4 linked regions of the Elephas maximus indicus genome follow. The protein of the gene in region 4 purifies or fractionates together with the protein of the main gene of each other region. This does not show direct contact. Links are inferred from orthologs where the notes say so. Each region holds a gene or a part of one and is shown on either strand. Other genes may lie near its edges.

The links.
Region 1: the proteins of VAPA (region 4) and PRKACA purify together in Homo sapiens (affinity purification with mass spectrometry; 4 studies listed by BioGRID and IntAct, with this or other methods). This does not show direct contact. The link is inferred for Elephas maximus indicus from reciprocal best matches to the Homo sapiens genes VAPA and PRKACA.
Region 2: the proteins of VAPA (region 4) and PITPNM1 purify together in Homo sapiens (co-immunoprecipitation; 4 studies listed by BioGRID and IntAct, counting the BioPlex papers as one, with this or other methods). This does not show direct contact. The link is inferred for Elephas maximus indicus from reciprocal best matches to the Homo sapiens genes VAPA and PITPNM1.
Region 3: the proteins of VAPA (region 4) and VDAC1 fractionate together in Homo sapiens (co-fractionation; 3 studies listed by BioGRID and IntAct, with this or other methods). This does not show direct contact. The link is inferred for Elephas maximus indicus from reciprocal best matches to the Homo sapiens genes VAPA and VDAC1.

Annotation. Positions count from the first base shown.
Region 1 is NC_064821.1:32,762,621-32,769,974, forward strand, and holds the start of PRKACA (cAMP-dependent protein kinase catalytic subunit alpha), read right to left. Parts: upstream 3,021-7,354; 5' UTR 2,955-3,020; coding exon 2,909-2,954; intron 1-2,908. Other genes in the region: histone chaperone ASF1B, read right to left, coding at 5,893-6,099, 6,440-6,616.
Region 2 is NC_064825.1:130,535,855-130,542,879, forward strand, and holds the start of PITPNM1 (membrane-associated phosphatidylinositol transfer protein 1), read right to left. Parts: upstream 3,022-7,025; 5' UTR 2,837-3,021; intron 1,906-2,836; 5' UTR 1,874-1,905; coding exon 1,796-1,873; intron 195-1,795; coding exon 1-194. Other genes in the region: CDK2AP2 (cyclin-dependent kinase 2-associated protein 2), read right to left, coding at 4,658-4,725, 5,468-5,600, 5,687-5,893. UniProt on the Homo sapiens protein: Catalyzes the transfer of phosphatidylinositol (PI) between membranes. Binds PI, phosphatidylcholine (PC) and phosphatidic acid (PA) with the binding affinity order of PI > PA > PC. Regulates RHOA activity, and plays a role in cytoskeleton remodeling.
Region 3 is NC_064820.1:146,391,133-146,398,153, forward strand, and holds the start of VDAC1 (voltage-dependent anion-selective channel protein 1), read right to left. Parts: upstream 3,021-7,021; 5' UTR 2,912-3,020; intron 1-2,911. UniProt on the Homo sapiens protein: Non-selective voltage-gated ion channel that mediates the transport of anions and cations through the mitochondrion outer membrane and plasma membrane.
Region 4 is NC_064829.1:13,045,865-13,053,104, forward strand, and holds the start of VAPA (vesicle-associated membrane protein-associated protein A), read right to left. Parts: upstream 3,018-7,240; 5' UTR 2,751-3,017; coding exon 2,672-2,750; intron 1-2,671. UniProt on the Homo sapiens protein: Endoplasmic reticulum (ER)-anchored protein that mediates the formation of contact sites between the ER and endosomes via interaction with FFAT motif-containing proteins such as STARD3 or WDR44.

The sequences.
Region 1 (7,354 bases), on a different chromosome or scaffold from region 4:
TGACCTCTCAGAGGCATTTTTTTCACTTTCAGTGCCTGTACTGGTTTCTCTCGGAGGCTTGGGGAGTATCTGGGGGGCTTCTCGCTAGCTCTGCTCCTTCCCCTGTGGCCAACTCCCAGGGGTGTCCTCTGCCAGCACCAGCCCAGAGGTTGCTGCCCTATCTCAATTCCTCCAGCCTGGCCAGAGCCTGAGACTTCGGTCATTTTTCTCTGCCCTCCTGGCCCCTGCCAATGGTTTAGCATCTTTGGGTGCAGATTCCCCACCCCCACCCCATGGCTCATTCTGGATCTCCGGAGAGGCAGACCTTGTTCTGTCCTGCCCTGGCATGGAGATGAGGGTGTAGGGGGCTGCAGGATACTTAACTGGTACCTAGTGAGGCTTGGGCATTTTCCTTACAGTCGGGCTGGCGTGTGGCAGATGAAATTCAGGTGCCCCCTGCAGGCTTGCCTGGCTACTGCCCCTGCCCCGCCCTGGTTAGAAGAGGACAAATTTAGTGTAACTCCATCCTCTCAGTTTCAGAGCTTCCAAGCAAAGAGGGGCCTCTTTCCCCATCCTATCTCCTTCTCTAGAAGCCCCTGCAAGGCTCGGGGAGGAAGTACAGCTTAGACTGTTTCCCAAAGTGTGACACTGGTCCCACTGGCTGAATGTGGAGTACGCGATGTTTCATTTTTCTAATTACATATGTATTTTAATTTGTGTCAGGGAAAATATATCTGGCCCAGCAATGCCATGACTTCATTTACATTACTGCTCAAGATGGGGTCAAAGTTTACGTCTGAAGAAAAGTGAGTTGTTTTTATTATTTTAAATTAAGAAAGTTTAAGTGACTAAAGCAAAAATCAGGGAGGCGAGTTGAGAATGTCTGAGTTGTGCACTTATGGGATCCAGGCGGATCTGGATGTGAATCCTGCCCCTGTGACGTCACCTACGTCAAACTGAGCAAGTCCATTTGGAAAATTCGGCTAATAGCCCATTATGAGTATCACCTGAGCAGATCGATGGAGGCTGTTTAACCTGGCACACACTAGATGCCCAATACACAGTGGCTCTATTTCCTTGTGACAGTCCATTCCTGGGTGTCTTTTGGTCTGTGCTCTGAGAGAATTAGCAGTTCCTTCCGGAGCCTTTTGGGGATCCTTTTCCCCTTGTGGCTTCCCACCTCCCCGCCGCACGTGCTTGGTACACTCTGAAGGTTTTCCGGGACTATGTCATCTTCCCAACTTTCAACTGAGCCACTGCAATATATAGCTGCCTGCCTCCACCTGCCACCTCCCAGCAGCCTCACCTGCTGAGAGCTGGCCCCTCCCCCTCTTCCCAGTCCCCTCCATGCTCAGGCCCAGACCTTTTTTGGACACTACCCACCTGCTCCTCTGTCATCAAGCGCTCAACTACAGGCACTTGCCTCCCTGTCCCCCGCCCATCGGTGACATGTCAGGCCTCCCCGTGGACGCCTGGTTCCTCTGAGTTCTGCTATTTGTAGGAATAAAGTTCCCTGGTTTGCAGGCCCAGGTCTTTCTGGGAGGGGGCATTCAGGGAACTCACGCTGTTGTTTGAGACCAGGAACTAGGGACAGCGTAGTTGGACACGAGCTCCCTTCTCAGCTCTATTTCTGGGTAACTGGAAGGGACTCTCAGGTGGGGTCTAGCTTTAGGCCTGAGTGACAATTGAGGAGCTGGAGGAACTGGGGAGGGGGCTCGAGGCCATTTCTGAAAGCAGTTCCAGATGTGGAATCTCTCTCTCTGGCTTGAAAAGGCCAGCACAATGTGAGGGTGGGAGGGAAAGAAACAAGCCTGTGGCTGGGCCTTGGGAATGACCAGAATCTGTCTGTCCGTTGGCAAAACAAGGCACTAGATGTCACCCACTACTCTCCCCAACTGCCCCATCCCCTTTCTCACCAGCCCAGCTCAAGCCGAATGAGCCCTTGCTAAAGCCAGGCACTCTTCGCCCCCCCACTTTTCATCCAGCGCCAGGAGCGGGTGAAGCAGCCCAGGGGACCTGGTGAATGACGGAGCCTTAGTTGTGAAACAACCATTTATTGAGGGGCCCCCTCCAAGAGCCTGGAGCTAGGCTGCCCAGCAGGAAAGCGGAAGGGGCTCTGCAGCTGCCCCCACTCCCACCCCACCCCCTGCAAAAGAGGATGCAATGAATCCCAGGAAGACTGGCTCAAATTTGTCTTTGGAAGCACTGAAGCAGTTCCCTAGCTTCATAAACAGCCTGCTCTCCCAGCCAGGGGCAGGCGCTTACTTGGAGGAGGGAGCAGAGTGGCAGAGAGTGACAGAACAAGAGAGGGGCAGAGGGACCCAGAAAGATCCTGTCCCCCATGCCAAGTGACACAGAAGAGAAAAACAATGCTGGAGGTGGCTTCAGGGGAAATGCTCAAGGATGGCAGGGGGCTGGGATAAGGTGAAAAGGGAAAGGGCAGGAGAAAGATGGCGGGGGCTGGAGGGGGGGAGGGGTGTGGTCACCAAGTGGCCAAGGTCCCTCTGGGGTGGAAGCAGACCCCACAGCACTCCCAGACTGCCAACTCTGAGTCGGGGTCTAGCAGTGCGTCCCATCTCTGTGAGTGGTGAGTGAGAAAGTGGGGGGATTAGAATTTGGGGAGATGGGCCAGGAAGAGAGGGGGTGGTGACAGGGCTCCATGTGGGGCCCCAGCGGTCATACGTGCCATGGTTGGCAGTGACAGCTGGGTGGGGGGGCACTGCCTTTGCAGTCGGGGGCGGCCTTTGGCAGGGGTGCCCCTATGGGAGGTCTCCTGCGGGCCTTCGGGCCCCAGCCTTGGACAGGCAGGGGCGCTGGGGAGAAGGAGCGAAGAATGGGGGGGGTGCGTGGGGGAGGGGCCACGCGGTGATGGACAAGGAGGGGGCTGGCAGAGCGGGGCCGCGATCGGGGTCACGGCCCGGGCACTCACCGCTCTCCTGCTCGCTGCCCTTCTTGGCGGCGGCGGCGTTGCCCATCGCGGCGGCGGCGGCCCGGGCCAGTCCCGGAGCTGCGGCGCGGGGGGTGCTGGCGGCGGCCGGCGGCCCCGGAGCGCGCTGGGCGGCGGCGGCGGCGGCCCCTTGGGCTGGCTGCGCTGGCTGCGGCGCCGCGACCCCCGCCCAGCCCCTGCTTCCCGCGTCCCTCCGCGCCCGCCCGCCCGGGAACCTCAGCCCAAGTCCGCTGCTGCTGTCCGTGACGCCCCCGCAGCCCACCGCCCATTGGCCAGCGCCACCCTGACTGACGGCGCCGCGCCGCTGTCTATTGGCCCGCCACGACCCTTCCGCGCCGCCATAGGCTCTCGACCCCCTGACGCGCTCCGAGGATGCTCCGCCAGTCGCGCGGTCGCGAGGCCCTAGCTGGGCGGGCAGACGAGCCTAATTGGCTGAGGCGCGCGACAGGGCCCGGGGCCCGCCCAGGGCGGGCGCCGATTGGCGGAGGCGAGCGGTCCGGCAGGCCTCCTGCAGAACCTCAAGTGTCAATCCCGGGGTGAGAGGGCGGGGCGGAGGCTCAGTCCGCTGTCCAGGCCCGAGCGGCAGGCGGGGCGGCCAAGCTTGGTCGGAGGCCGCACCGCGCTCGGAAGCCCACGAGGCGGCCCGGAGGCACCGGACGGCCCCGTGCGCGCCGCAGTCCCCCGCCCCTGCCCAGTGCGGCAGCGGGCGCCGGCCAGCCAAGTTTGGCGCCGCGGGCCGCCGGCGCAGCCGCTGTCCACCTACCCGGGGGGAGGGGCGCGGCCGGCGCCGAGGGTCAGAGGTCGCCGGGCCGCCGGCCACCGTCATTCATAAGGGCTGGTGTTGGGCAGCAGCGGCCAGGCCGCCCGGGGTCGCCTCCAGCCACAGCCCAAGCATCAGAAGGATGCTGGGCTCCGGGAGCAAGGGGGCGGCTGAGAGGGGCACGCAGTGTCCACCCTTTGCTGGGCGCCCACCCTGGGCTCGTACCAGCAGAGAGTTGGCACTGGTTCACCTTATTACTTCGCACAACATTCCTATCATGTAGGCACTATTATCCCCATTGTACAGCCAAGGAATCGGGGGCACAGCCAGGCCTCCTGGATTCAGATTCCCTGCTGGTAATCACCACTCTGCATTCCTTTTGTCTGGAGAATGCAAAGGGAACCTACCCTCCCGGAGGATAGAAGGGGCAAGATGTCCTTCTTTAGGGTGCCCTTTTAATATATCACAGCCTGAGGATGACAGTAGAGCTGGGTTTACCAATGCTACCCGACTGACATTTGGGGCTGGATGCTTGGTGTGGGGGCGGGGGGCTGTCTGGCTTCTACCCACGAGGTACCAGAAGCACATACTTCCTCCCTCCTGCCCCCACTGCTTACAGCCAAAGTCTCCAGAAATTGAGTTGAGAACCACTGAAGTGGAGGAAGGCCCCCACATGAGGTGCCAAGAGAGGCTGGGGGCTGGACCAGCCAGCTCCCCTACTTTGGAGGGACTAGTCCAGTCTCAAGTCCACAAGCTGACTCATTGCTCTGCTTATGGACTTGGGCTAACTGCACACAGTTGTCTGCACGTCTCCTCTCAGGCTGACCACCAGCCCCAGGGAGGGAGAGTTTGGGCTTCTCTGAAATACGGGAAAAAGGCTGGCCAGCCAAATACTAGTGCAGGCTGTGGAGTTACATAGTAAGGTTAAGTTGGATTTAATCAAGTGTGGCTTTGTGTATATACTTGGATCACAATGTAAAAGTTAATTTCTTCTTGTGGGCCAGGGTCAAAGTCTGAAATCACTGTTCATCTCTATCTCCAGATTTGACACTCTCCCCAAAACTTAGTCTGGAATACAACTATACAACCAGCTAGAACTGGAGTAAGAAGTCAAGCAAGGGGGCAAGGGACACCCAACTCACTGAGTGGAGGAAGAGGCCAACCCCACCATTAGGAGGATAGGATGGATGGAGCTGTCCCTGCTCGCCTGAGACAGAAGCAGAAACAGCCTCAATGAAGTGCTTTTTATTTTTAGCGCAACCAAACATTTTTAATATAAAAACCCTTTAATATACAAACTGCAATCACAACAGCATCCATGTAGCAGCGAGGGGATAGGGCAGAGGTGGAGAGCATTCCGGGGAGGGAAGATTTTCAGGATCCTGACAGCTTCCCTTGCCCACACTCACCTGTGGCCCATGAGTGTGTGCAGTCTTGGCAGAGGACAGGTCAAGGCTGGCAGAGGTAGAGGGGCTTGATGCCAACGCCAAAACAGAGCACAGCAGACCCTTCCAACATGCGACCTCCCCACCACTGAAGTCTCTAGAGAATGCCAGGTCCAGTTAAGAGGTAACAGGAAGGTGGCTGTGACTGAGAAGAGAGGCACCTGCTGGTCACACCTTTAGGAGCTGCGTTTTCTAGAGGCTGCTGGGTTGGGAAGAACCAAAAATCTGGGGAGGACAGACATTGTATCTGAGTCCACATCCGAACCAGGATTCCTTGCCTGTGACTCCAGAAAGCTGGGGGCTCTGTTCAGATGTTTGGGAAGGGGAAGGAATGGCAGAGCCTTTGATCCAAAAGGGCTGGAGCCTCGCCAGGCACTGACCAAGAAAGCCTCAGGCAGGCCCAGGAGGTCTGTGGGAAGCAGCTTTGGGTCAGTGGTACTCAAGGGAGCACAATGGCCTCCAGGTGAATTTATAGTGTGTGTGGAACAGTGAAAGGGGATAGTCAGAAAGAATGAAGAACTAAGTACCTCCTTCTTACAGGCCTGTGGAGTAGATGTGAGATGATCCTTCTGGGCCAGGGCTGGGAAAGACCCAGGGCCTGTTCTTTCCATGGGGCCCAGTCTGATTCGATGTAGGTGACAGCCCCAAAGTTCTCCAGATGTCCCACATGACTCTCCAGGAGGCCCAGGTGCCTCCTCCAGGTGTGCCAGGAAACTGGTCTGGGTCCTGGCTGAGCCCAGCCAGGGCCTGAGCTCCCAAAGTTAGATGCAGTCCATGGAATTCTCAGGGAGCAGGCCAGGGATGCAGCCAGGAAGGCCCAGGCCCTTGACAGGAGTGCAGCTGAGGGGGAGGCCGCTGCTCAGTGAAAGGTCCTGGTTGTCGATGGCCTCCAACCTGTCTGTGTTGTTGTCCCAGTTGATGTGAAAGCGGGTCACCCGGGGGTTGGAAGCCAAGATGTTCCGCTGGAGCTGGGGCAGGAAAAGGAGCATCAAGTCTTGTCACGTGCCCCCTGTTACTCCCCCAGAGCCAGGGCAACCCCAGCTGCCACCCCAAGCCCAGGAAGAACAGGCCCTGCTTAGTTCACCAACCATATACGGAACTTCAGGGGAAGGCCCTGTGCTACCGCTTAGCACTACCTACTCTCAGCTCCGAGGCATGTCTCTGGAAACAAAGACCCTTTCTTTCCTAGCCTGGCTCTGCAAGAATCGAGCATGACTGAAAACCCGGGCTCCCAATTCTAATGACTCAACTCCCCCAGTGTGAAGGGGCCACCTGGTTGAAGCAGGAAAGTGCAGAGACAGCCCCTACCTGAGAAAAGTCTGGCTTCAGTGGTGGGTTCTCCCGCAGCTCAGGGTTGGGGTACTCGTTGTTGACGTAGTAGCCCACGCGGATGAACTCCTGCCCATGGTAGGTGCAGGTGATGAGGACCACGGTCACACCCACGGCATCGGTCTCAGGAATGAGGGATGGATTGGGGGCATCGGCCTAGGGGAAACACATCCTGGGCCTTAGCATGCAATAGTTGATGGATGTTAACAATGATTCCTGAGCAACAGGGATTTACCGAGCAAAAAGTATGGTCTCTGTCCTCAGAAGTTTACAATCTAATGAAGCAAACAGAGAATCAATCACACAAACGACTGTAAAATTTTGAATGTGACAGGTACCGGGAGGTGTTTACCAGATGTTTCCAGCAGAGGTCCTGAGGCATCAGGAAGCTACTTGGTGTGGGCAGTGAGCAAGGCAAAGGTGGTATAGGTTGGCAGTGGGGACTAGACCACACAGGGCTTGCTGGGCCAGTTAAGAGTTTGGGGAAGCAAGGTCTTTAGCAGGTGAGTGCCATGTCAGACTTACAGTCTGAATAGATGATTCTGGCTATATGTGCAGACGTGATGGGAGGGAAACAAGCTGGGAGGCTACAGCAGCCAACCTGGGGACCAGGCAGTAGAGACAAAAGTGAACAGTCTTGGAGATGTAACGTTATGGACCAAAACAAACAAACAAAAAAACTCCACCGCTGTCGAGCTGATTCCAACTCATAGCGACCCCATAGGACAGATCAGAACTGCCCCACAGGGTTTCCAAGGAGCGGCTGGTGGATTTGAACTGCCAACCTTTTGGTCAGCAGCCAATCTCAACCACTGCGCCACCAGGACTCCATCATTATGGGCAGACCCAGCAATATAATTTGTGGGGTCCAGTACAAAATGAAACAAAGGGCTC
Region 2 (7,025 bases), on a different chromosome or scaffold from region 4:
GCGTTCCAGGATTCCTCCTCCACCTGTAGGGCAGCTTTCGGCAGCAGTGCCCGGAACCAGCCTGGGATGTGGGAGCCCACGTGGTACACCTTGTGTGTGTACTGCCCGCTGCCGCCCGGCCCATCCGTGTAGGGCTGGTTGGCCAGGATCTCCACGCCACTGCCCTCGCCACTCGACTCCTCCCGGCTCTTTTTCTGCAGCCCAGGGCACAGCAGAACAGGGATCTCAACCCAGGAGTGAAGCCCTTCCCAACTCATCCTGTGGCACCCCCAACTCAGACTGGCCCCCCGCACAGCTCTGGAGCCCCAATCCCAGCCCTCTTAACTCCCTGAAACCTGGCCCTGGCCCCTTCAGCTCCCTGGGATCAGGATCACAACAGCCTCTGCCCAGTCCCCCGTGGGGACTTATTCGGTCATTCAAACATTTATTGAGTGCCTACTCTGTGCCAGGAATTGTTTGGGATTATATTGACTGGGATATATCAAACAGAACAAACATCCATGCCCTGGCGGAACTTACATCCAAGTGGAGCGAGAGAGACAACATAAAAGCAGATTATATGGTGTGTTAAGAAGCACTGGTGGCACAGAGGTAAAGCGCTTGGCTGCTAAACTGAAAGGCCAGCAGTTTGAACTGACCAGCAGCTCTGTGGGAGAAAGATAGGGCAGTCTGCTTCTGTGAAGATTAGAGCTTCAGAAACCCTATGGGGCAGTTCTACTCTGTCCTATAGGGTTGCTGTAAGTCGGAATCAACTCGATGGCAGCGGGTTTGGTTTACGGTATGTTAAACAGTGGTGCGCGCTGTGGAACAAAGAAAGGGGGCTCAAGGATTGAGGACTGCAGTTTTAATATGATGGTCAGGGGAGACCTGGTTGAGAAGAAACATGACCCAACACTTGAAGAAGGTAAGGGAGTGAGCCATGCAGACATCAAAACGTCTGCAGGCTGGGGGACCAGAGTGGTATTGAGTACTGGAGGCAAAGGAGAAAGAAGCCCCTGCTAGGCCGTGAGGTGGGAGGGTGTCGGGCAGGCTCAAGTAGCAGCAAGGAGGCTAGAGAGGGCTGGAATGGAAGAATCAAGGCGATTAACCAACTCCACTTCTCTGAGGACCTGACCCTGATTCCCTTCCTCCCAGCTCCTACCATACCCCTAGTAGCTGGAGAACCCCAGGCCCTTCCCAGTTACATCTCTGGAGTCAGGACTTGCCCCCACTCAACTGCCTGAGGCCCATCTGGGCCCTCTTGCCTCCTCAGGCTCCAATCCTACAGTTCTGGAGAACAGACCTCAGCGCCTTGGCCTCTCTGAGGCCTGCCCCAGCCCCCTTCCTCTTAGCCCAGACCGCTCCCTCACCCTTTGGGGCCCCTGCCTTCCCCTTCCCTCCCCACAGCTTTGGGGCCTGACTCTCATCCCGTGTCCCTGACCTCTTGCAGCTGCCAGGACCCTGGCCCCCTCTCCCCCCACCTCTCACTGTTGCCTCCTCCTCAGCTCCTTCCCCTTCCCCCACAGGATTACCGACTCCGAGGAGGATTAAAAGAGCTCATGCGTGGGCTGAGCGTCCAACCTGGGCTGGGCACGTGGGGGGCAGGGAGGCGCCACTGGCTCTTCTGCCCCTTTCCCACAGCCCTTACCCCACGTGGAAGAGGGGCTTCTCTGCTCCCTGGGCTCTGTCTGAGCCCTTTCAGCCGGGGCAGGACTGGCTGCGTTCAGGGTGCGGCGCCTGGATAGTGCCAAGCCTGCGCGCTCCCGTCGCTGTCCCCGTCATGCCGCAGGCCCCTTGTCCCCTCGCCTGCCCTCACCTGGATCATGTAGAGCTGGGCCACCTGGTACTCGTCCAGGCTCATGGGCAGTAGGATGTGGTACTCCTTGATGAGCATCTTCAGCGCTGGGCCCACGGCCTCCGCTCCGCCTGGCGTAGGCACCGCCGTCAGTGCGGGGCGGCGCGCGGCCACGAGCCCTGCGCGCGTCCCGGGGGGCTCGGGCCGCCGGACCCCATGCCGGCCGCGGGGAGGCGGGGCGAGCCGGACCGCCGGGGGCCGAGGGCGCAGCCCGCAGAGCGCTGACCTCGTTTCCTCGCAGCCCCCCCACCGCCGCCCGCCGTCACCATGACAACCGTGCGCTGACGCGGGCCCCCCGGAGCGGCGTCGCGGACCCGCGGGCGCCAGGAAGCCCCGCCCCTTCAGCCGTGACCGCGGCTGGAGCCCCTCTCTGCAGCATCCTGGGAACCTAGCCCCGGGTGCCCTGGCCGGTCCTCTGGACCCACCTTCCCTGGCGGCCCGCCCCCCGAACCCTTTCCCGGGTCGGTGGGGTTCCGGGGTCCCCCACTCGGACATCCTCTTAGAGCCCTGTCTCCTCGGGCGTCTCTCCGAGGACAGACCTGCGCGTCCCACCCGTCAGCATCCCTGCCGGGGTCCCTAGCCCCATCTGCCCCTACCTCCAGGGTCAGACCGCCCCTTGGTCCCCACCTGCCCTCCCCGCCTGGCCGGCAGCCCGGGCCTCAACTTCCCCTCCCCAGTATCCTTCCTGGACCCCCGGCCCCGTCGCCTCTCCACTCGTCTACGGGCCGCCCCACTATCCACTCAGGGCGTGACCCCTCCTCAGGCTAAGGCAGAGTGGCACCACTGGGTATCCCAGCGGCCCCGGAATCTGGGGGCCGCTCCCCCCACCTGCTCCCCGGCCGGCGCGGCGGTTCAGCTGCAGGCACTTCCCCCCACCCCCGCCACTCCCCATCTCGCACCCAGCGAACAGGCTGGAGGCCCCGCTGTCTCCACTTCCCTGTGCTCCCCGGCGTCCCCGTCCCTCACTGAGCTCCTGGCCCGCCCGCTGACGTCCCAGCTCACCTCTAGCTGGGGAGCGGCGCCCCTCACCCGACCCGGGCGGAGGCGGCCGGGCCGTGGGTCGGAGCCCGGAGCGCCCCCCGCCCCGGCCTCGGGTTCCAGCAGTGGCCGGCCTCCCCGGAGGAGCAGCGCGGGCCCATGGCTCCGACCTTCCTTCGGTCCGCCTGCCGGCGTCCCTGCAGTCACCTCCCCGCTGCCCGCCGCGTCACTGCTGCCGCCCCACCCCCTTCCTGGGCCCGCTGGCCCTCCCCACGACGTCGGAGGGCTGGCCCCTTCCTTCCCTACTAGCAGGCAGCAAGGAGAGGCCCTCCGCCAAACGCTGGCACTTACTTCCTGGGTGCTGCTTGGGGCCGCCAAGGTACTCCTGCTTTCCAGGCCACCCCGGCCCAGCCCTCCAGTGTACAATGAAGTGGCGGAGTTTGCTGTGGCGTTGCACCATCCCTACAGGAAGCCCCTCACCCTCTGCAGCCCCAGGAACCTGTGACTCAGGGCAGGGGAAGTGCCTCCCTCAAGTCCTGCCAGAAGCTGGGGACTCTGACTTGCCTCTGCCTGGGGTTGGGGTCTCAGGGCCCCAGGCCTCTACGATCGCTCAACTATAGGACCGGGGCATAGGCTGCCACTCCAAACTCTTGGGTCAGCCCCTTAATGGCACTCCAAGGCCTTCTCCACCTGTACCTTCCGGGTCCACAAGTCCGGCCACCCAGATACCAGACCCTGGGCAAAGGCCAAGACACTTGCAGATGGCCAGCAGGTGGGCTCACTGGGCCCCGCCCTCCCCGCTGGAAGGTGCTGGGCCAGTGGATGGCAGCACCCAGCTGGGTCTCACCCAGGCTGGAGGCCAGTCCTCTCCCCTTGACCCTGTTTGCCAGGAAAACAGTGCTGGGCAGTGGAGAGTGCCCCTCTCCTCTAAGGAGTCGGGGCTGGGGTGTACTCAGAGCCTCCCAGGGCAGATTCAGAGTGGAGGATGTTGTTAGGGCATTAAGGCATATGAGGGAATGGCAGAAGTGAACCGGCCACCCGGCCAGGCACTACTTGTAATCCAAAGAAGAGCCCTGTAGGCCCAGGCTAGCAGCAGTGCCCGCTAGCTGTACGGGCAGCCAAGGCCCTGTGCTGCCCCCTCGTGGCACCACACGAAGGGGTGCAGGGCTCTCAACTCCTGCAACCCCTTCCACCACCTACAACTGGAAGGCCAAGAGCCTGAGCTGGGGCCCATCCAAGGGACAATGGGCAGCAGAAGCAAGGCCAGGCCAGGTTCAGTCGGTCTCTGCCCCATCTCACTCCACCTCCCCGCCCCATCCCTTCCCCTCCTTGTCTGGCCCACCCAGGCTTGGCAGAGGAACCAGACCCAGAAAGGCTCAAAGCTGAGAGAACAACTTCAAATCATCTTTATTTTATACAAAAAGGGCATATTTAGCAAAAGACACACTGAGAAAAGAGTTGCTATGGCCCAGGAAACAAGGCAGGGAGGTGACAGGCCTTCCGAGACCTGCTGGGGGACAAGGGGATGGGACACAAAGTGGTCAGCAGTGCTGGATAAGTGCTGAGTGGTGGAGGCCCCAGAAAGGAGAACGTTCCAGCTGGATCAACACTATTGGTAGGTCATGGGTGGGTCTCATAGTGACCCTGCTGCTAACTATTGCACGGGGCCTCAGTTAGTGCTGCTGATCGGAGTGGGATTTGCCCCTGGTTCCTGGAGGGCACCCACCAAGGGACACAGGACAGGAGGCCCAGGATGGGGAGTGCAACTCGGGGTGAAGGCCAGGGAGAAGCTGGTGCTCTGCAGTGGCTGGAAGGGTCCGGACGCTGAGGTGCAGGCGCTTCCTGTTACGTGCGGGCGTTTCGCTCTGTCTCAGCCAGGCACTCTCTGACTAGGGCCCGTGCATGGATGATGCCTGGGGTGGGGAGGGGTGGGGGAGTAACATACGGGGTCTCAGCAACCCTCCAGAGCCCACCCCAACCTCCAGAGGAAGATCCTGCCCCTCCACCCTCTTCCCGTCTGTAGTTATTGTTGTTGAGCGCCCTCCAGTCAATTCTGACACATAGTGACCCCATGTGACACAGTAGAACTGCCTCAAAGAAATGTTCTAGGTTGTGATCTTTATGGAAACAGATCACTAGATCTTTCTTCCACAGAAAAACTTAGTGGGTTCGGACCACCAGCCTTTTGGTTATTAGCAGAATAGTTAGCCATTGTGCAACCAGGGCTCCTTCCTCTCAGTTAAAAAAAACAAAACAAAACCAAACCTGTTGCCGTGGAGTTGATTCCGACTCATAGCAACCCTATAGGACAGAGTAGAACTGCCCCATTAGGTTTCCAAGGAGCAGCTGGTGGATTCAAAGAGGCAAACCTTTGGTTAGCAGCCAAGGTCTTAACCACTGTGCCACCAGGGCGCCTCCTTTCAGTAAGAGACTGGATGAGATGGGAGGCTTGGCTAAACCCCAAATTTTCCTTGTTAAAATGCCAACACCCAGTCCCCTCCCTGGAAATGGTCTCGATTTAAATTTAATTCAAAACCCCTCTCTGGATAGTGACACTGGCTCGAGGTCTAGGCTCCACTCAGGTGGCCTCCAGATGGCCTTCCTTCCCTAAGAGGTTGTTCGGCGTCAGGGCAGGGTGCGCCTGAGCTTGCTTACCTCTCTTCAGGCGCTCCATGGCACTCTTGCTTCCAGCATAGGTGGGCCGGATCTCTTTGCCCATCTCCTCAATGACCGACAGCAGGTCTGTGTAGGTACTCTGGGAGCCCTGGGCGCCCGGTGGCTTCATTGCCTAAGCCAAAGAGAACAGGGCAGTGAGCTCAGGCCCCGGGTGGGCTACCAGCCCTCATCCCTAAGCAAGCTGGCCGTCCCACTCACCTGCACATAGCCCATGGAGGGAGGTCCAAAGTCGTTGAACAGTGGCCTGAAAGGGGCAGCGGCTCCCGGCACCGAGCCCGACGGCGACGGGACGCTTCCGGCTGCAACGGGCGCGAGGAAGAGGTCAGCACGGGGCAGGGACGCCTCCTCCCAACGTTCCAAGCCCCGGGCCGAGTGTTTCCGATTCCCTCCAAAAGGATGCTTCATTCCAGGCTGGTCAACTTCAGGGACAAACCCCACCCCCTGCGCCCCACCTACAAGCCCTTACGTCACCACGCCCACTTCGCAGGCCAGGAAACTGAGGCTCCAGGAGGGTAGGCGGCAGGCCCGGTATTGCAGAACTCAGGCCGTCTTCTCTTGGAGACCTCGAGCGCCCGGGGAGGCGAGCAGGGGTGGAGCTGGGTCCTCACCTGTAGGGACCGGGGTGCCGGGCCCAGGGGTACTGGAGCCGGGGGTGCTGCTGGGGGCGGGGGCGATGGGCTTGTAGGACATCCCCGACTCTCGGGTGCGGGCGGACGCCGGCCGGCCGCTGCTCCGGGGTTGGCTGCTGGCCGCTCAGCTGCGCGCTGATTGGCAAGCGGGCTGCACGCCCCTGGTAAATAGAGCGCTGGCCGGAAGGGCGGGCGGGCTCGAAGGCTCTCTCACTCCCGATTGGCAGGCCGAAATGTCATTCAAACCTCCTCACTGGCCGAGACCCGCCCCAGCAGGCCGCAACCGCTGTTGATTGGCCTCTGTCTTCCGGACCTCGCACCTGTCTGTTCCGGATTGGGTGGCGGCAGAGGCCCTCCACAATTGGCGAGTTCGCGGCCCGGGCCGGCGCGCTCTCAATCCGATTAGTCCCAGGGTTCCCGGGGCGGGGCCTCGGAACCTGGATCTGGGTTTGGGCCGCCGCGGATCGCGCAGAGGGGTCTTCTCGGCGCCTTACTTGCGCCTTACTAGCGCTGCTTCGCGCGTCAGCTTCGGGCCGCCCGGACCTCGGCCCAGTCTCGGTTCGGCTGGGTCTGCTGTCGCCGCGGTCGCCGCCGCCAAGCGCGCCTGTCCCCCTCTCCGGACGCCGAAGGACTCAGGGCTTTGACGTTCCGAGCCCTGCGCCCCACCCTGTGCGCTTTTACGTCACCTTTTCCCGGTTCAATAACCTCTCTCCGATTTGCGCATGCGGCTGCCTAAAGCCTTCGTTCGTTCCCATGGCAACGGGTCCAGCTTCCGACGCCACCACCCAAGCCTTTTTCTCTGGATTGGCAGGTCCTCAGTTCAAGGATTGGAGGGAGACTCATTAACAACCTGCGTTATGCAGATGACACAGCCTTGCTGAAAGTGAAGAGGACTGGAAGTGCTTACT
Region 3 (7,021 bases), on a different chromosome or scaffold from region 4:
GTCACCGAACACATGCCAAGCCCCCAGGACGGTGCTGATCAGGCCCTTAATAAAGAATTGCTAAGATGATGATGATCACACATTTATACTGGGAAAGTGAGGCACCAGAAAGTGGCTTGACTTGTATTAGACCCTACAGCTCATGTCACCTGTGTTCTGAGCCCAGACTGCTTTCCAGGTCTCTTCCCAGCCCTATTCTAGGTAAAGGGCTTAGAATCCTATTCATCCCTACACACACCCCCCCTGACTGTGCCAGGCTCAGTATCTCACTGGTCACCTTTCCTTGGCAGCTACCACAGGAATCTCTGGGGAACCAAAGGCCATGGACCATAGACCCTGTGGGCACCCAGAAGGACTGTCGGAGGTTGGGCTATGGAAGGCTCTCAGCATAGATATTCCCCTCCCAGTCACTATCAACAAAGACTTTGTTGTTGTTGGTTGCCGTCAAGCCGATTCTGACGCATTATACCATGGGATATTCCATCAAGGGTAAAGTGGACTTCAGTGCCTCTGCAGCACTGAATGAGCGGTTAGCGCCTTCATCGCCACCAGCCTGGAGCTCCTCATCCACATCTGCCCAGTGTCCAGCAGACCAAAGGCCCACGGGCACCTCCTCACCATATGGTCCCCAAGTCCTGAGCTCCAGGTTTCTGATCTGTAAAATATGTCTATAAATGGCTCCCCACCCTAACTCCCATTCTAGAACTGCAGAGATAAAACTAAATAATCAACTGAGAACAGCTCCCTCTCCCAGTGGGGTCAGGCATAGGCTTCACCCAGGGCACCTCCAGCAGAAGCCATCAACCCACCCACTCACGCACCACTACAGAGGGAGGGATGCCAGTTCAAGGCCTTTCAGAGAATCCCAATTCACCCATGTCACCCTCCTCTCAAGCCCAGAAACACCAGTTCAACAAGTTTCTGGACTTGGACAGTCACAGAATGAAGATAATGCACTTCAAGCAGTTATTTCAAAATAGGAAATACAGTAAAACCTGCGAAAGCTGGAACTTGTGTAAGGCAGAAACCTATCAAAAAAGAAAAATGCAAATATTTTCCACTAAAATGAGCAATAGAAAGGTGTTAAGCCTATACCCTGTCAAAGGCAGAAAACTTGTGAGACCTGGAAAAACATGGCAGTTCTGGCTCTCACAGGTTTCACTGTGATTTTTGCCTCTCACGGCTCCAAGGCTGTATGTACATACCATTGTAGATCTTTAAATCTTTGAGACTCTGCTAAGTGAGGCCATTTTCTGGAAGTGAGTGAGATGTGTGTCGCCCAAAAAACGATGTCCAAGATCCGGGACTATGGTCTGGGCCTGCAGTCACTACCTATGCCCATTCAATCATTCCACACCTGAGCACCTACTATGTGCCAGATGCCTGAATAATAAAACTAACCTTTTGTCAATAACAGTGAGTCAACTCTTAGAAAAAAAAGCAATAGTGCACTTACCCCCACAGATCCTTCTCAAGCACCTACTGTCTGCCAGGTGCCACTGCAGGCCCTAAGAACAAGGCTGCACCAGGTCGAAGCCTGACCCCCCCAGGAGCTCAGTCAGACCAGAGCTGGAGTGGAGAGAAAGAAGGCAGGCCCTGGGGAGTCAGCCCTGGCCTAGGAAAGAGCAGAAATCTTGGCAAAGGAAGAGCCCATTTCCCTATCCTCTCTGGAGAGGGGAGGCTGGTCAAGAAGATGGGGCCATGGGGTGCAGCCGGGTCTCCCCCTGCATTCAAACTTCCTGCCCCAGCCTGACTTTATCAGTCTGTAAACTTACAAGATTTTTTGTGAATTATCCTTAAAGTTACTCAATGCTTTGCACACAAACGGTTATTAATAATACCTCCATAATGTTTAAAATAACAGGGACTACATTTTCTGAGCCCTTTGGAGAACACCACGTGGAGGAAAGCGCTCTGAGGAGGATGGACTTGATCTTCCCCAAAAGTCTGAAGCTGGTTAAGTTTCATGGTTTTTACCGAGGCCTTCTTGGAGTCTGGCAAGGTTCTGAAGGTTTTACAACTTAATCATCTCACTTTATTCTTCCCAAAATCCCCAAGAAGGAGAGGTATAGCTGCTCCCATTTTACAGATAAGAAGACTTAGGCTTGGTTTCTTCCCAGTTGTGTGACCTTGCACAACTCACTTATGCTGCGGGCCTCAAACCCAAAGTCGAGCTCCTAGTTCCCTGCATGCACACAGCCGTGTTCGGTGAATGAATGAGTGACCGAACCAGAAATCCCTTCTAAGGCCTCAGGGGCCACAACGATCCCCGCACAGCCTCCTCTTCTGAGGCCTAAACCCGAGTCCAGCCCCTGAGGCCTAAATCGACTCTCCGGCACCCGTTCCGCCCGGGGAGGCGCTGGCCCGCGCGTACTGCCGGGTGGCAGCTCCTTCGGGCGTGGACTGGGCAGAGCGTGCGGGGCGCGGGGCCGCAGTCACCACCTGCGGCTCATCCCTGCGGCGGCAGTGTGGCCCGCACAGGGCCGCGGGTCTGGCCCGGGCAGCGTGGGCGGCGGCGGGCGTGCCCCAGCCCGAGCAGGGCTGTCAGAATCGTGGGCCAGAGGGCGTCAAGGAAGGTCACCTAGACCCGCTGCTGGCCGGGGCTCCACGCGGCTGCCCGTGCCCTTCCGCCCGCATGTCCGGGCGGCTTTCGTTCCTAGCCGCAGGCGCCTCTGGATCCCCGGCCTCCCGCTCCCCGCCCGGGCCCACTCGGCACCCGCCCGTGCGGCCTGCTCCGTCCGCGGCTGACCCGCCAGGCCCGAGCGGACCGCTCCCTCTCCCTCCCTCAGGCCGGGCTCGGGGGCCCCTCGCCCTCGCCCGCTCCTCCTCCCACGTCCTCCCTCTCAGCTACCCAGGGGCCCGGTCGGCGGCATGGGGCGCAGGCAGAGACTGCCCTTCCCACTGCGCCTACCTCAGAGGCGGCAGCAGCGGGTTCAGTGGTGACTACGGCGGGGGCTGCGGCGCAGACGAACCCAGCGAGCGGCGGACCGGGGGCGGAGGCAGCGCGGACGGCGGCGGCGCGGACCCGCCCCCGCCCTGCGCTCCCAGTCGGGCGAGCTCCGCCCAGGGCCCGCCCCGGACACCGCCCAGGGCCCTGCTCCGGGCCACTCCGGTTCGCACCAGGCGCGCTGACCCTTCTAGGCTCTTAAGCGCCCTGAGCGGCCGAGTGTGCTCGCGGTCGTGTGCGTGTGTGTGTGAGGGGGAGTGCCTGCGTGCGCACGAGCACGGGGCGACAGCGAGGGGTGGGACTGACGTGCGCACGGATCTGTGCCTGCGCAGGGACACGCCTGGCGGCCCCGCAAGGGCTAGTCATTGCTGGAACCTCCGTCAGGGTAGAAGCGTTCGGGGAGGGGGGTCTGGTTAGCTGAACGGTGCCGAGGGGACCCCGCGCTAATACAAGATTCTCAGGCTACTGGGCCTCCCTCTCGGCCTCGGGGCTGGGAGACCACCGGGAGTTGATGTAGCGGATGGTGCTGAAACAGGGCCTAGCCTGGGTGGGCGAGGTGGCTCTCAGGCCACGGGGTATTACAGCCGGCTGCGAGCCCCTGGAGACAGTTGTAGGCGGGGCTGGGGAACTGGGAACCGGAGGTGGCGTGGATACAGAGTAGCGGCCCGGACTGTTGCTCCTCTGCGCTGCTGACACAATGCTTCCGGCGTCTGGGTCCCGCTTGCACAAGGCGCGGGATTGGCAGAGCCTTGCGCTAGTAGGAACGATCACGGAGAAAACTCCCCTCTGCGCCGAATTTGCACTGCAAATTAGCACTTTTCCGCTATAGCAAAGCTGCTCGCAAGCCTTTTCCGAGAAGTAAAAAACGTTGCGTTTTGCAAGAACGTCCCCAGCTGGGTATCACCACGCGCCGAAGTAAACGGTGATTCCGGCCTGCCAGTCGAGCGCATCGCGGGCAGCCCGCTTACAGCCCCGGGCCTGGCCCTGCACCGCGGCTCTCGGTTCATGTGTGTGGTGGGGCCATCGCTGTCCTCGCTAAGCTGTGAACGCGTGATGACTCAAGCTGCTCATCTAGTTCACCACCGAGTGTCCCCGGCGTCCTGCGGGAGGCCTACCGGGAGCAGGCTTCGAGAATTAACGGATTCACGCTGAATGCAGAGTCTGCGGGCCATGCGCTTAGGCCAACAAACGTCCCCGAAGGCGGAAGGTGTTGGGCTACAGAGCCAGCTGCGGAACAAGCGAAAGGAGTAGGCAACTGGAGCAGGCAGCAGATTAAATGGAAAAGTGGCAACTGGCAACTCGGGTTAGAAGTGGCAGGGTGTTGAGGAAGAAGAGAACTCATAAAGGGCAGCCCAGAGAATGTAGACAGGGCTCACACGAAGGCAGCAGTTCACTCTCTGAGAGGAGAGGGGAGGGCGGAGAAAGACACTGAGTCACCTACCCCGTGCAGTGAGGCAGAGTTTGGGAGGAAAGGGCCTCAGAGAGGCAGGGCAAAACCAGGTGGCTTCGCGCACACGGGCTAGGAGCGGATGCTCTACTGTTGGAATCTCAACTTTACTAGAATTGTGACTCATTGACTCCTCCCCACCACAGCCCGAAGGAGGGAGGAGGTGAAGGCAGTCTTTTACACCAGGTAATAACCTCCATCCCCTTCAGCCCCTCCCCCACAACTGATGGAGCTGAGGGTAGGCATCTGACCCAAACCCAGCCAATCAGTTCCTCTCTTGCAAATTTAACTAAAAAACCCAGAGCCTTGTGGGACTCTCTAGTCATTTGGCCTAATTATGTTTTTAGAGTTGCTGTTCTACTCCCTAGTTCAGTGAGTACTGCAGCCATCCAAGATACAACAATTGGTCTGTATCTGCCAGGAGCAGCAAAGGAAAGAGACCCAGGAATCAGAGAAGGAGCTGGATTGCAGATCTAACTGCCTCCATGAACTACTGCCCCTTAGCCATGAGATCAGAACTGGATAGTGCTTGGCTACCATTACTGAATGTTTTGATCATGGAATCAATAGATGAATCCTGATCAAAAGGGGGAAAATGTGGAACAGAATTTTAAATTCTTACAGAATCCAGACTTACTGGACCTATTGAGACTGGAACAACCCCCAAATCTATCACTCTAAGAAAATCTTCAAACCATGAACTGAAATTGTCCCCTGAAGACATCTTTACATAGCTAAATTAGTAAAGAATGTTCTACATGAGCATTGTGCTCTTTTAAAGAATTATGTATATGAGATCAAATCGTCAACAGTGGCTCTAAAGCAAAGATGAGAAGTTTATGCAATAGAGTCTAAAGTTAGTGGTGGTGAAACAGTACGGGTAGAGATAACAAGAATGGTGACGCAATGTGAAGAATATAACCAATGTTATTGAACTGTACATGTAGAAACTGATGGATGTCCTGCTGTGTATATTTTCACCAAAACAAAAACAAAAAACCCAGAGCCTAAGTGAGACAGAGGGTCTTGGAGCCCTTGGGTCTCTCAGGTAGACCTGGGTCTGATGGTCATGTTGAGTCTTGAGAAGTTAAAGAGACCATTGTACAGAGCACCTGGGCAGGGCGGCTGCAGGCCCCTGTTTCATGAGCTGCTATTACTCTTCCTGCGCTTGGGTTTCCTTGGGCCATTTAAATAACCACCCCCCTTGAGCTTGATCCAGCAAGAGTGGGCCCCTGAGGAAGACCCTGGATTCCTGGTGAGTGGGAAAAGGGGATTTGTGGGAATAGAACAGTCTCGACAGCAGTTTTTCTTTAGGAGAATGATCTCTCTTCCCCTCCTTTCAGTTGATTTGCTTTTTTGGAGCTGACTCCATCTCTGGACCATCCCTTTGGACCAAGAAACCAACTGAGACTTTTCCTGGAGCTGTTGAGAGAGACTGAGACTTCCCCTAAGAATGAAGCCAGCCCATAAAAGAGAGACAGAGACCAGGTCCTAGGGACATCATGCTCCTGGATCTAGCTATGCCTGAGGCTACCTCCTGTGATTCCCAGCTCTCTGAGCCAATAAAGTCCCTTTTTGCTTAGTCCAGTTTGGACTGGGTTTTCTTCCAGGTCCTAACTCAGTACTTCCCTTTCCTTCAAGCAGAACATACAGGGAAACCCTGATTGTGTAGTGGTTAAGTGCTACAGCTGCTAACCTAAAAGTTGGCCGTTCGAATCCACCAGATGCTCCTTGGAAACTCTATGGGGCAGTTCTACTCTGTCCTATAGGGTCGCTATGAGTCGGAATCGACTCGATGGCAATGGGTTACAGGTAGAATGTATAGTATCCAGGACAGATTAGGTTTTTCTTTTTAATATTGGAATAGTGGTTAAGCACTCAGCTACTAACCAAAAAGTCAACAGTTCAAACCCACCAGCCACTATGTGGGAGAATGACGTGGCAGTCTGCTTCTGTAAAGATTACGGCCTCGGAAACCCTATGGGGCAGTTCTACTCTGTCCTATAGGGTTGCTATAAGTTGGAATCGACTTGATGGCAATGGTCTTTTTTTTTAACAAGTGTAAGAATATTTTATTTTAGGGAACTTCTTTCTTATATCTAACTTACAGCCATAGGGCTTCTACTTAAGATATTTACCAGCATGGAAAGCAGTCACTCACCCTTCTAAAAACCTATATTGAAACACTTTTCTTTTCAAGGCCAGATGTCCCTGTACCTCAAAGTGACTTATTAGCATTGCTTTTGCCAAATACTTGAAGATGAAGTCCATGAAGGTAGAAATGGAAGATACAACTTATACAAATTATTTTAAAGGGAAAAAGTATTCTACTTTTAACCAGCATCAATTACCTTGATTACAAAACTGAATTATCATAAAATCTAACCTTTTCTAACCATTTCCCAATGAACTCATCAGATTTGAGTCTGGGTAGGAGGAATTAGGATTGAGAATTGGTGGTCAAGTGTCTCAGGTCACACTCACATCACTGTACCCTGACCCTCATCATCCAGGCGAGGACACACGCAGGCCTCCTCTCCAGTGATATGGAGAAGAATAATCAATTGAGAAAGGAGCCCTGGTGGCACAGTGATTAAGCAGTTGGCTGCTAACCAAAAGGCTGGATG
Region 4 (7,240 bases):
TTCTGGATGTCAACATCACAACTTCTATAGGGAGAAACCTTTGAACCCTGCTGACATTTTCTAAACTAAATCTGGTTTCTGATTTCCTAATGGCAATACACACATGGTTATCCAGTAGAGGAAATTTCCTCTGTAAACTGACGTTCTCAAAAGGTAAAAACAAACAATCAGTGGCATCATTAGGGTTGGTGTCACCCAGTGTAGTAACTCAGGATGTCACCTCCTCGTGGACCTCCTCCTGTACCAGACCATACAGGATCCTCAATAACATTTTTTGTACTGTTACTCGTACACCATAATTCTCGTCTAACACTCCTTCTTTTCCTTTAATTACTTTATTTCTCCAAAAAAAAAAAAATAGTTATTGATATAGGGTCACAAATGCTAATTACCACAATATTGTAGCTACAACACCAGAAAATCTGACGAAATCAGCGACTATAAATACACCAACAGCGAAGAATACAACAGCCTGTGCATGTAGTGTGTGCAGATGAAACCACATGATTCAAAGCACGACTCTAACTGGGCAACGACCGCTCTGACTGGAGGGCCTTGGAAGGTTCCAAAGCAAATCAGCACAGAGTCTTGGCCGTGAGGGTATGTTGATAAACGTAAGCTGGGCTTACAAAAAAACGTTTTTGTTGTTGTAACTACAGGGATACTCTTATGAAAACAATAAATTTCTGCTGAAACTCTGCACAAAAATTTTATAGACATTTTGGTGTCACCTCATTCTGAAAGTGTCACCCAGTGGGGTGCACACACCCCCAGTGATGCCACTGCAGAATACTAAAACGCTAGAAGACCATAAAGGTTTTCACTAAAATTCCTTCAACTTAAGACAACAGTTATCTGAATTAGGTAATTTCAAGATCCACAAAGGTTATTTTTCTCCCAGCTAAAACTATGTAAAACCATGCAGTACATACAAACTTGCTACAATAAAATGCACTCACTGCACCTCAAAATATTTCTTAAGAGTTGTCTTAAATTCTTACCTAACAAGCAGCTCACAATTCCATTCAAAGAAATTTGCAAATGCACTAAAAAAGCTTGCAAAGTAAAAGAGGTATGCACCTTACTCTCAATTCCAGAGTACGGTATTTAAAAAAAACTTCCTAATACTATTTTAAAATTTTCCTATAGAAAGCAATCTATATTTTTTCTTTTAGACTCAATCTTAAACAGCAATAAAGGATCTAACTTTGTCTTCTAGCACTGGAACTGGTACTTATCTCACGAAAATTGTTTTCACCATAGCTACTGAAATTGAAATGTAGGAGACTGGCTTCCATTCCAAAAGGAGATTCACTTCACATTTAACTAAACATAGGAAGGAAACTTTCTTTTCGGGATCTTCACACTCTTGAAGTAACCCACCCCCCCCCCCAAAAAAAACAACTGTTCAGTTTAACTCTCGTCCCTAAAGTACCCTACATACTGAAAAGCGAACAGGCCAAACGGTACCAGATTCTTCCAGGATCACAAAGTTAGACTGATAAACTTATCACAGGTATTGCTACAAAACAGGAGCACTGGTGGCGAAATGGTTAAGTCCTCGGCTGCTAACCCAAAGGTCGGCAGCTCGAATCCAGCAGCCGCTCCTTGGAACCCTATGGGGCAGTTCTACTCTGTCCTATAGGGTCCCTATGAGTGGGAATCGACTCCGACGGCAACGGTTATTGCTACAAAATAAGTCAACGAAGTTCCAGAGCTGGGTGACCCCTCATCGGCCTTTTCAGGGTTTGCTGGGAAACCGCAAACCTGAAGACAAAAGTCACAAACACTGAAGATTCCGCAGCAAAGAGCTAAGCTAACAGGCTAAACAACAGCTGACGAACATCAAGTGCGCCCTAGGCGGATGGCAAACTGAAGTGTCAGCTCAGAAGACGACGACCTACTACTATTAACCCAGCACTACCACTCCTCAGACTGACGCAGAGCTTTCCTCCTCGCCGCGCTACGGCCCCGCCAATCTATCCAGGTAAGCGACAACCAGGGGACCGCAGGGGCTGCCTTCGGCGTTCGATACACCGAACTGCCGAGTTACGAACTCAGCGGAGAGAGCTGACCCCAGCCGGCTCCCTCCTCGGCCGGGACGGGACGGCTCCCCTCCAGCTCCGGGGCAAGGAGCCGCTGTACCACCCGCTCGCCTCCCACCAGCCCTGACAGTCGGAAGCGCTCGGCGACGCAGCTTGCGCCACCTCCAGGTCCCCGCCTTCAAGCACAGCCGAGAGCACACGCTCTAAGGTCACCACCCACCCGCGCCCTCAAAGCGAAGCCAGACGGCCACCGGGGGCCGAGGTCCAGGCCAGGGCGCCGGGCTCAGCGAGGGGGCCCGCGGTCCCAAGGCCCGGAGGCGCTCCCGGGGCCCAAGATGGCGGCGGCGGCGGCGCCAGGTCCGGGCCGGGCCCTCGGTGGCGTCCCCGCCAGTCCGCCCGCCCGCGCGCGCCGAGAGTGCGTGTCAGGCGGGAGGGGAGAGGAGGCCGGAGGAAGGGCTGCGCGGAGCGAGCCTGGAAACACAAGTGCCTGCGCGTGGGGGAGGGTCGGGCCGCCGACATTCCCTCAGCGCCCACAGCCCGCCCCGGAGGAAAACCCACGGCGCTCTCCGCCGGGGAGGCGAGCCCCGTCGCCCCCCAGGGGTCGGCGGCGCCCCCTTCCTGCCTACCTTTAAATTTGAGGTCTGTGGGCGGGTCGAGAACCAGGATCTGCTCGTGTTTCGCCATGGCCCCGGAGGCGGACGCCATCGGAGAGGAGTGCAGGACGGAGGCGCGCCCGCGGCGGCGGTTTGCTGGTGGGGGCGGGGAACGACGGCGGGCACCCGGCTGCGGGCCGACTCGAGGACTGGGCCAGGCTCACCGCGCCAACCTCGCTTCCGCCCGCTGGTCTGTCGGCCGTCCCGCTGGCCGCCGGGTGGGTCCGCAGCTCTGGGTCTCACAACTGACTCAACCCAACACCCGCCGCCACGGCCGCGCGCACTGCGATCCTCGGCGCCCACGTGACGCCGCTGCGTGCCTACGTGCGCGGCCCCGCGCTGGGCCTAGCGCGGCAAAGTGCTGGTGCGCCTGCGCGCTCCCGCCGCGGCCGCCGCTCGGAGCAAGCCCTGCTGTCAAGGGAATGGGTGTGGACAAGGGCGGGGCTCAGATTCCCGGAGGAACACGGCGCGCACCGCAGGGCAGGAGGGGGTATTCCTCTAACGCAATTACGAAACAAGAGTGCCCGCTCTAGCAGAGCATCGGCGTCTTCCAATTAGGAAGGCCTATAGGGTCGCTATGAGTCGGGATCGACTCGACGGCACTGGGTTTAAAAAAATTTAGTGTAAGGAAAAAGGCGTAGCCGAGAGTCGCCCTTGAACTACAATTCCCAGCATACCGCACTTCGGGGCGGAGCCCAAGTGTGGGCCTGGTCCCTTGCAGCACTCTCGCGGTGCTTGCCGGGAACTGTAGTAGCCGCTGCTTGCGGGCGGGAAGGAAACTGAGGTCTGGCTAAGGTGAGTGGGATGGGGCGCTCTGACACGCATTTTGGCTCTCAGCGTCTCATCTGCGCTAAAAAGGAAAAACAAAAATGGTTGGACCAAGGACCCCTGAGCAGAAATATAAAAATCTACCCTGTAGAAAACAGGCTAGGATTTATCAGTTTGTTCTCCAAAGCTATCAACCTCTATTGGGAGATCCAACCTCTCCTGCTTTCCGAATTCCCTACAGTGATGCAAAATCCAATGAAGAAACACGCCTTATTTAATAAACAGATGCGTCGTTGGGGAAATCGGACAAGGCACACGTATCAAGCTAGAAATAAAGGTCAAAATCTGCAACGCTGAATTTAGTTGCTGTAGTTCTACTCCCCAGGTTTGATCAATGATAGACCCAAACCAAAAACAGTTGTCACGTTCACATGTTAGGAACGAATTCCATCTGCATCACTGATGATACCCAGTACCCAGCGCCGTCGAGTCTGTTCCGACAAACTCACTGATAATAGCTGGTCGTAAACTGAACCAAATAAGAAAAATCCAAGCAGCAAAGTTGCTGACCAATTTTCAAACGATCGCCATAGCGGTGGGAACAGGAACATCAAATGAAACAAACGAAGAATGTGCTGTAAACCAACCTTTACGGTACAGCTTGGATTTAAATCCCTAGGGAACACCACAAAGCAGAAGACTCAAAGGAGCAGCCCGGTCTGTCCAGAAAATAAATGAGACAATTGGAACCGAAATCTAAACACAGGCACGAAGTCCAAGTTTTCATGTGCAATCCAGGGATCAGAGCTTCCACAAAGAGCTCTCGAAAATAGCTAACCTAGCATTCATTCACAGAAGATTGTGCCCTGCAGCAGGAGTATACCTTCAGCCGTGAAGAACCTGGGAGGATGGGAGTCCTTGAATAGTTTGAAAGGCATATTCTGAACTTTTCTTTTCTTTGGTATCTTTTTATTCACAAATCTATTTCAAAAGTTCAATTATCATTAAAAGAGGGTACAAAACTTATAAAGTTAATCAAAAGAGGATTTAAAGAAAAAAAAAAAGAATGTGGTTGACAATCACTCCACAGGGTGGTGTCCCACACATACTTAGCTGTAAACTGACAACTAAAAGCCATCACCAACTCCAATGTTTTGCCTGCCTTGAAACCTCTCACCCATTGGTTAGTTAGCCAAGGGAATGGGAGCATTGGCCGAAATGGCTTCTACCCCCTCCACATCTGGATGGACGCTTCTGTTACCAGGAACTGTTTGGGAACCCCTGGTGTACACACAGCCAACTAGCAGGTATAGCATGCCAGAGAAGTTTCCAGTCACTCCCTTGTGGGACAATGATTTGCCATCCACCGCGTGTTCAGTGAGACACCTCAGTCAGACCACCCTAGTTTCCCAGTCTACCTCATGAAGAGCCTCTGCCCATTTCAAGTCATCCACCATTGGAATCAGTATTTTTTCTCTTCTCAATGTCGCTTCAAAATCATATAATCATAGTCTTAAAAATCTATAAGAATTTAAATATCTGATATTCTAGCAATACAGCAAGTATCTGTGGAGTAATTCTCCTGTTATTATTTTACGGCATTGCATTAATAATGACTCCACACCCTCCTGAACCTTCTACTCCTCATCAAATAGTGCACTACTTAAGTGGTTTGTTCTCTGGCATTTATTAATATCTTTCTTCTAGCAGTTCAGAGAACTTTACATACGTCATTAGACACCACTCAGAACATCTTTATAATAGTTGGCAAGTGCTACTTTTGTTGTTAACTATAGAGATGAAAGCACAGCTGAGAGCATCTTAAGACAGTAGTAGAGATAAACTATGGGGGAAGAGGGGAAAGTTGCCGAGTTTTCCAGCTGCGTGTTTTTGCTCTTCCCAAAGCCAAATAAAATGACAACCCATAGTGATTAAGGCAACAGTTTACAATGTAATTGAGTTATCTATTGTTTAATATGTAAGCTAGAAATCATGATACATGGGGCCTGATGATCAATCTCTTTGTTTTATTTCACTGATTAGCGCAGTACATAAAACTTCTTATGGTATTAGCAAAAATACATATACTCTTAAGCATGTTTCTTTAGCTACCAAATTTTCATGAGTATAAAATCAAAGCCAAACCCACTGCTATCAAGTCAATTCTAACTCACAGTGACCCTAGAGGACAGGGTAGAACTGCCCCATAGTGTTTCCAACGCTGTAAATCTTTACTGAAGCAGACTGCCACATCTTTCTCCTGTGGAGCAACTGATGGGTTCAAACCGCTGACCTTTCAGTTAGCGGCTGAGTGCTTTGAAAAAGGTATAAAGGCCTTGAATATTACTTCAACCTATTTGAATCACTAGTTAGTATTTACCTTTGGGCAGGTTATCTTCAAATGTTTGGGAAGGATTAAAAGAAAATAGTTTCCAGTAGAGATGGCAACAAAGTATAACCATCTCCTTCTCCATAATTCAATACGTTAAACATTACTCTAGAGGTGCTCTATAACTATGAATTTCTTTGTGAGTAATTAAATTCAATAAGCATTTAAATATTGAGGCACTGAAATGTATTGTGTAAGAGTACAGGCTTTGGAGCTGAACCACTGGGTTAAAATCCCATTTTCCACTTTGTGATCTTAGCAACTTATTTTGCCTCTCTGTGCCTGTTCAACATTTGTAAAATGGGGATAATAATATTACAGAAGTAAATGAGTGAATGCACGCAAAGAGCTTGGAATGGTGCCTGGTTGGGGCACTGTTAACTTATAAGTGTTAAATACTGACTTATTGCTGTGTGCCAGGCACTGTGCTAGGTGCAAGTGATATAGTGCTGAGCCCATGGACATGGTCCCTGCCCTCGTAGGCTTACATTCAAGCAGGAGAGATAAACAGGAAAGAACTACTACAATTCCTTTATTTGAATTATAGTGAACATTAAGAACAATAAGTCTGGGGAGCTGTGAGTGAGAATGGGGACTCGCAGAGTCTAGGGTTTGAGGATGATTTGCTTAAGGAAGTGACAAGGGCTATATTCCAGGCCAAGGGACCAGCATAAGTAAAAGCCTTAATCTGCACGTGAGCATGACTTATTCTGAATAATTTTAAAAGACCAATATGCTACAGTGAGTGAAGCAGGCAGTGAGTATCAGGAAGTACGGCTGGAAAAGCCAGGTGATGCAGATTGTTTTAGGCCATATTAAGGATTTGGATTTTTATCCTAAATAAATGGGAAAACATCAAAGGGTTTGAACAATGGAGTACTATGATCAGTCTTTATGAGATCTCTTGGCTACAGTGCAGAGATCGGATCAGAGGGAACAGAAGTAATACGTGTGGGTGGGCAGTTGACACCATCGCTATATTTCAGATGATGGAAGGTGGTATTTCAGAGGATGGTGGCTGGGGATACAGTAGATGCAGTGGAGATGGAAAAAAATGGATGGATTTGAGAGATTTTAGGTGTTATAATCAATAGGATTTGGGGGTGATAAGGGGAAATGAAATATCAGAGATGACTCCCCTTCTTTTGGCTTGTGCAGGTGGATACATGGTGGTGCCATTCAGGAATAGAGAGAATCCTGAAAGAGAACTAGGTTTGTACGTTAAAGTGCAGGAAAGGGAAGATCATGAGGTTGGTTGGGTGTAAGATGCCTTTGAGACTTTCATGGAGAATCATTGAGTAAGCAATAGGGTGTTCCGTTTGGAGCTCAGAGGAAAGAGCTCTGAGCTGAAACGCAAATCTTGGAGTCCTAAGCATGCATGATAA